2 linked regions of the Lonchura striata genome follow. The protein of the gene in region 2 interacts with the protein of the main gene of each other region in a pairwise test. Links are inferred from orthologs where the notes say so. Each region holds a gene or a part of one and is shown on either strand. Other genes may lie near its edges.

What was found.
Region 1: the proteins of LMNA (region 2) and IFFO1 interact in binary tests that used the Homo sapiens proteins (3 or more experiments, as listed by UniProt). The link is inferred for Lonchura striata from reciprocal best matches to the Homo sapiens genes LMNA and IFFO1.

The regions. Positions count from the first base shown.
Region 1 is NC_134604.1:29,440,978-29,444,719, reverse strand, and holds the start of IFFO1 (non-homologous end joining factor IFFO1), read left to right. Parts: upstream 1-1,315; coding exon 1,316-1,998; intron 1,999-3,742. UniProt on the Homo sapiens protein: Nuclear matrix protein involved in the immobilization of broken DNA ends and the suppression of chromosome translocation during DNA double-strand breaks (DSBs).
Region 2 is NC_134635.1:1,184,200-1,187,941, reverse strand, and holds the start of LMNA (lamin), read left to right. Parts: upstream 1-873; 5' UTR 874-1,005; coding exon 1,006-1,355; intron 1,356-3,742.

The sequences.
Region 1 (3,742 bases), on a different chromosome or scaffold from region 2:
GAGTCATGGGCAGGACAGGGGAGACAGGCAGGCCACAGGATATAACTGATGCTGGACACAGCAAGGCAGGAGTGGGGAACAAATTTGATTTGGACTGCTCCCAGCTCAGGATGGCACAAGAGTAATGGAGGGACAGAGGAGACCTGTAGTCCTGGAGGAGAAGCAGCAGGGAACAGGCAATAGGCAGACTCTCAGTCAAGGCTCACAAAACTGGCCATCCTCAGTGGAGCCAGGAAGTTCCTGGCAGTGTGGCTTGAGCCGTACACTGGATCCCAAGGGAAGGGCTGCCCCACTGGAGCATGCCCAGCTCCTACCACAGAGCTCAGTGCAGTGTGGTGCTGGGCATCTCTTTGAATTCCAGCCCCCGGCTCGCTCACCCCTCGCTGATGGCTCAGCTGAGACAGCTCAGCTCCTCAAGTCCTGGGGGAACGGGCCAGGAGCACACACACAGCAAAGGAACACAGGTGTCCACATCCATAAAATATTTATGTAGTGATCAATTTGTGCGCGGTCTCCTCCCACTGGATAATGGGGTGAGGGGCGACGCCAGCGCTTTCTGCACAATTCACCTGAGGTCGGGGTAAGAGGGAATGACCGAAAGTGGGCTGAAATAAGGGACATGAAACAAGACCCGAGGCTGCTTCGTGAACAAGGAAGGAGGAGGCCAGTTGCAAGCCAAGCATGATATCTGAGAGGCTGCCCGCACACAGCCTCCTCTGCCCGCTGGCTCGCCATTGTCCGGCGGCAGCTCCCCGCGGGCGGGCTGCCGGCACGGCAGGGACAGGGCTGTCTGGGGGGCTCGAGAGAGAGGATAACGAGAGGGTTTGGGGTGCAGAGGAGAAGTTATGCCCTCTTTTAGGGGGGCAGCTCCGGGCAAGCACTAAAGTCTATGCCAAAAAAAAAGGAATAAAATATTAAAAAGGAGGTAGAAGCACACCGTGCTGCGGCTGGGCTAGTTACGGAAATCAGTAGCAGGCGGGGCTTCAGCTAGCGGTGCCGGAGAGGGACTTCCCTCCGGGGAATCCTGCTGGACCGGGCCGCGTCCCTTCGCCCCGGGGCACCCCGAAACCCTCCGGGGAGGCCGGGCCGCCCCTCGGCGGGGCAGGGACGGGGCCCGGCAGGGGAAAGGGAGGTTCTGCGGCGCTCCCTCTCCTGCTCGCTCCGCCCGGGACCGGCGGCGGGGACGGGCGGCAGCGGGGGCGGCTCCGGGCGGCCGCCGCCGCATCCCCGCCGCAGCGGAAGCCGCGCCCCCGCCGCCGGGGCCGGCCGGGCGCATCCCCCCGCCCGGCGCTCCCCGCCCCGTCCCGCCGCCGCCATGAACCCGCTCTTCGGCCCCAACCTCTTCCTCCTGCCGCAGGAGCAGCAGGGGCTGGCGGGCCCCGAGCTGCCGCCGCCGGCCGCCGCCGAGCCCCTGGGCGGGGAGCCGCCCGCCGGCCCCTTCCCCGCGCCGCCCGCCGCCATGGCCCTCCGCAACGACCTGGGCTCCAACATCAGCGTCCTCAAGACGCTGAACCTGCGGTTCCGCTGCTTCCTGGCCAAGGTCCACGAGCTGGAGCGGCGCAACCGGCAGCTGGAGAAGCAGCTGCAGCAGGCGCTGGAGGAGGGGGCGGGCGGCCGCGGCCGCGGGCCCCCGCGCCGGGACCAGGCGGTGCAGACCGGCTTCGTGGGTCCCATCCGCACGCTGGGGCTCGGGCTGGGGCCGGGGCTGGGGCTGGGCTCGGCCCGGGCGCTGGGGTCGCCCGGCTCCCGCCCCGGCGGTCCCGGCCAGCCGTCCGCCTTCTCCGCCGGCTCCCGCTTCATGCCCGGCACCATCTGGTCCTTCTCGCAAGCCCGGCGGCTCGGCCCGGGGCCCGAGACCACCCTGGTGCAGGGACCGGGCGTCTCCTGGGTCCACCCCGACGGGGTGGGAGTGCAGATCGACACCATCACCCCCGAGATCCGAGCCCTCTACAACGTGCTGGCCAAGGTGAAGAGGGAGCGCGACGAGTACAAGCGCAGGTGAGGAGGGGCGGCGGGAGCGAGGGGCACCGGCGGCATTCCCCGGGACCGAAACTATCGCCTGCAGGGCTCTGTCCGGTGCGCGATGTGAGGGGCAAGCAGGGAGGGAAGGCGACGGTCCTGGCCGGACTTCTCGGGAGCACAGGCAGCACGAGGAAAAATGTGGACTCCTGAAAGCATTTGTTTGTGCCTGGGTCTCCTCCCTTGCCGCCTGGTGTGCGAACCCCCTCGGGATGTTCGTTGAGCCTTGTTCCATCTTACCAACCTGGCATGAGGGACTAGAAATGCTTTTCCAGGCAGGGAAGGAATAACCCAGGAGCTGTGTTTTAAAACCAAGGGGATCTGGAAGCACTCAAGAAGGAGGAGCAGCCTGAAAGTAGCTGAGGAGGGTGGACATGCAGTAGTGAGTGGGTTTGGATAGGAGAAAGCTGCTGGGAAGGAAGGAGTTCTCTGAACGTGTCAGAAGGTGTCGAGAAGCCCCTCAGCAGGTTGGCTGGCCTCTCCTAGGCCCTTTCCCTCTGCAGTGCTCTCCAGCTGGCCCCTCAGCAGCAGAGAGCCGAGGCAGGACACCCCACTCCTTGGGGGCTTTCCTCCCGACCCAAAATAGCTGTGGCTTGGCACGTGCCTTGGAGAAGGGCGAAGCAGAATGCAAAGCTAATCTCTTGGCCGGTTCTTCTTTCCCGTGCAGGGTGGCCGCCGCTCTTGCCTCTTGCCAGCGGTGCTTTTGTGTCCGGCCAGTTTCCGAGGCTGCCCCCGGATCCGCACGTAGGATGAGATCAGGCTGGGCTGGCGTCGGAGGGTCAGAGCATGGGGCTGGGCAAGAGTGTCACTGGGGACTGACACCACCCCAGCCAGTGCTTTGGGGTTTTTTCAGAAGTCCCGTTATGACGCTTTGGACGCAGTTAGAAAGTTTGTGATTCCACTCCCAACTCCCCACAGGGGCTGTGCCACCCACCAGTTCTGCACGGCCACAATGCCAATATCAAGGCTGGGGTCCAAGGTGACACCTTGTGCTTTTGGCTTTATAAGGCTTAGGCTGGGCAAACTTGCCTGTCAGATGCTCTGGAGGCACTGAGCAAGGCACATGGAAAGGAAGAGTTGGCATTTCTTCTTTCCCACCAACTGCTGCATGTACCTAAGGCCTTTTATGATTAAGCCAGTGGTCAGGGTCCTTCTCCAGAGAGGAGCAGCACTCCTTGCATTGCATTTTCAGATCAGAGAGTGGGAAGCTGGATCCTGTTTCTTGGCCAGGAAAGCTTGACAATCAAAGTGGGTCAGCCAGAGAGGACCAAGTTAGTTTGTTGGTGCTGCTGAAACTTTGGGAGAATGGAGAGCTTTTCAGGGTTGTCCTGCTCTGGCAAGTGAGCTTCAGGGAAGGCTGCAGAGGGGTTGACAGAGGGACTGCTGAGGGTGAGATGGAGGGGCACCACAAGCTGCTATGAGCTGCTGTTATGGTGGGATCTATTTTTGGTGTGTGTTACCAGGAGCTGAGGGAAAGCAGACCCCACCCCCAGACCCTATCCAGCACTGGGAACTTTCTGACGGGTACAGCCAGGTCCCAAACAGGGGAATGGAACAGAAGGATTCAGTTTCCACACCCTTCTCCATGCTGGGGGCTGACACCAACATCCCTTGGGAGCTGAGAGTTCCCTTCCCAGTGGGCTGTGATCTGCCATGGGGACAGTGCAGCTGGTGTCATGCCTTTGCCACCTGCCTGGAGACAGATGGAAGAGGCCATATTAAC
Region 2 (3,742 bases):
ATGAAGTCCAAGGAGGGGACATCCCCCCTCTGGTAGCGCTGGGAGTGCCTGGAAGCATTTGGCAGATCTGGAAATCATGAGCTGTCTGTGTCTCGGTAGCGTTTTGAGGGAGACAGAGCACCCCGCACCTGCTGGGAGGACTGGGAATCCCCCCTGCTGGGAGCTGGCCATACTGGAAGGGTGGTTGAGTGGGACTGGAGGGGGCTGGGAGGCAGGAGAACAGGAAACAGTCAGGGAATTGGGACGTGAGCTCAACTGGTGCTCAGAATTTGGGGAGCTACAAACTGGCACAGCTGGCACTGAGGAGAGCTGGGAAATGGGGAATACCAGTGCTGAGAGAACTGGGCAAAAGCAGTGCAGGGAAGTGGGTAGGTGGGTGGTGGCATTCTTTAGTGCCTCAGTGCTCTTTGTGTGTGATGCCTCAGGATTCAGGGGAACCCAGACCAGGGTGTTTCAGGACTGCATTTGGGTCCTTGGATCCCAGAGTTTCAGGTACCTCGGGGTCCTGTGCAGCCTGTGGCTCCTGCATTCAGGGTGTGCCAGGACCCCCCATGCCCTGCCCTGTCCTATGGGACAGCAATGTCCTGGAAGTGCTCCGCCCAAGGGTCCTGGGGGTGCCTGGCTGCTCCTCCTCCCTGCAGCCCCCTCCTTTTCCCTGTCACTCCCAGTCTGCGATGCAGCCTTTGTCGAGGGAATCGCCCCAGAAAAGCCTGCAAAGGGGTTTCCCCGGACTGTGTCCCCAGAGACGCCCTCCCAAGGCCCCTCTACCCAGAGATATTTTCCCAGCCTTTCCTAAGGAAGGGCTGGGACTGATGCGACTTGTCTCCACCCAGCTTTTGGATAACTCCACCCGCCGCCGCCTCTCAGCTCCTCCTCCCAGTGAACAGCCCAGCTGGGATATAAGCAAGTCACTCAGACGCCGGGAGCTGCCGCGACAGCTGGGCGGGTGGCGTGGGACATCGCGCCGTGACCTGAGCCGTGCCCCTCGCCTCGACGCCGGACCCCATGGCGACGCCTTCGCAGAAGAGGAGCACCCGCAGCGGGGCTTCGGGGACCCCCTTGTCCCCCACACGCATCACCCGGCTGCAGGAGAAGGAGGACCTGCAGGAGCTCAATGACCGCTTGGCCGTGTACATCGACAAGGTGCGCTCGCTGGAGCTGGAGAACGCCGGGCTGCGGCTCCGCATCACCGAGTCCGAGGAGGTGGTGAGCCGCGAGGTCTCGGGCATCAAGGCTGCCTACGAGTCGGAGCTGGCGGATGCCCGCAAGACCTTGGATTCGGTGGCCAAGGAGAGAGCTCGGCTGCAGCTGGAGCTCAGTAAAGTGCGGGAGGAGCACAAGGAGCTGAAAGCCCGGTGAGTGCCCTGGGGATGGCGGGGACTGCGGCGGGACGGGTGCTGTCGTCATGCTTGGCAGGGAGCCGGGAGGGAGGAAGGAGCGACCTGGAGGAGCCAGGGAGAGAGAGGAAAAATCCGTGGCCTGGCCGGGGCTGGAGTGTCTGTGGTAGGGACCAAAAGAGGAGAGAAGCTCTCTCGTCATTCCTGCTCTCCTTCCAAGCGCCATCTTTGGCCGGGATGCCCTTGGAGCGGGGATTTGGGAGCGGAGCTGGGCACGCCTGGGGCAGGGGCTGAGCAGACATGCCCTGGGCCCCCGGCAGGGTCGGTGCTATGCGGGCCGGGAGCGCCGGGCTGGCGGCCCCTCTGCCTTCGTCATGCTGGAGCTATTCCTAAACACGCTCCGGCACAGCCCGGGAAGCCGTGCCAGCCAGCTGGCTCTGTCCTGCCTACGGATTTCGCCTGCTCGTCCTATTTTCCTTTGCTGTCTTTGGCACCGGTTAAAGAACCTGCTCCAGGTTTTGTTTGCTTTAACCCTCCCTGTGCCAAGCTGCTCCCACTCTGTGGGGTCCCTGGCTTTGGGGGAAGAAGTGTGCGGGTAGCACTCGTGTCCCCCTCCCACCAGCTGTCACTGGGTGATGTGCTCCCATTGAGGCACGAATTCCTCCAGCCGCTGCCCATCGGGCTCGTTTCTTTCCCTCCCTGCCTTCGTGGACCCTTCCCTGCTGCCTCTGGGTTCCTCTGCCCTCCTCAGGGCTGTCACCGGTTACCAGCCCAGGTCCCCTGAGGACACGGGGCTCCCTGGCCGGTGGCACTGCTGGCCAAGCAGGGGCTGGCCCTGGGCTTCCCCTGGGCTCTGCCAGCCCGTGCAGCGTCGGGACGTGTCCCTGCGGCGCTCAGTTCCCGAAGGCTGCTCCAAGGAAGGAGCGAGCCGATCCCTTTCCGTCATCAGCTTTGGCTCGCAGCCGTGTTCGGGCTGGGCAGCGGCGGGAACAGCCCCCTCTTGTTCCGTTTGATCTCTTGCCTCTTATTCTGGACTCCTCGTTTTGAGCCTGTACCAAATGAGGCTAAAATTAACTTCCTTAGCAGATGCCATAAATATTCTACCTGGGAGGGAGGGACTGTGCTGCCTGTTAGAGCCGTATCCGAAAGCCGTGTGGGGTTATATTTAGCTTTCTATTTCCCGTGCGCTGCGGCAGTTTCGTTCTCCGATAAGGCGGTTTGCTGCTCGCCAGATCCCCGCTCCCGGATCCCGGGGATCGGGATGCTGGTGAGAGGAGGAGCTGAGCTGTCTAAAGGCTTTTTTTCTACCTTGTGCAAACCCAGAACTATCTTGGCCACGATCTTTCGAGGGCTGGAAAAAATGCGCGGCCCGCAGCCGTGGCAGGAGGGGAGCTGGCTGCGCTGTGGAGCCAGCCGTGGGGAAAACGGATGTGGAATTTTTCCCTGCGACCGGCCGCGCTCCGGGAGCTGCTGCGCTTGTTCCCGGGCGCTGACAAATGCCCTGAAAGAGTGCTGGGACTCGCGGGGGTTCCCGGAGAGCAGCTTGTGCCCGAGAGAAGGGTTTTGGAGAGCAGTAGGTGCTCGGGGGGACAGGGGTGTTTCCGTGTTGAGTCATCTGTGAGTCACGGGCGCTGCGATGGAAGAGCGGAGATGCGGGGGAAGCCGCTGCTGTTCATTCCTGCCTCTGGTTTGTCTCCTCTTCCTAGGGCGCGGCATGAGGGCTGCTCCCCAACCCCTAAACCCTTGCAAGGAGGCTGCAGCTCATCTTGTGTCCCCGGGGACCTGCTCGTTGTGCCAGGGCTGCTCAGAGAGCAGCACAGTCGGCTGCTGAGCTGCGATGCTGCTCCTTGGGCTCACTTTGACTGGGGTGTCCGAGTCTTTAGGGCATGAGGGAATGGGGCAGCCACGAGCCCAACCCTGCGGAGGGGTCAGAGGTGCTGGCGGGACCAGGAGGGCCCCGTTGTGACACTGCTCTGCTCCCTGCCATCCCCTTGGGCAGGGATGTGCCCGCGCTGCCGGCTCTCCCCGCCCACCCTGAGCCCTTGGGCCAGCCCTGGGGCCGCTTCACTGTCCTTGACACGGTGAGACTTTGGCTAATGAGTAACCGCAGCCCTCTGCGCCTCTCGCTGTGCCCGTCGGCCCCGAGAAGCGCCGGGTATCTCCCGCAGGGCAGGCGCCCGGGGCCGCGTTATCAGCGCCCACAGCATCGCCGCTGCCCGGTGCAGGGGTTGTCTCGGCAGCACAGAGGGAGGGTGGGGGGCCGGGGTGCCAGGGCATGATGTGACACGGCCCCGGGCGCTGGGTGCTCTGTCTGGGGTGGGGAAAGAGCTGCTGGCTGCAGGGGGACAAGCTGTGCAAACAGGAGACCAGTCTAACCAGTACCAGTGCATGAGTGCGAGAGCTGC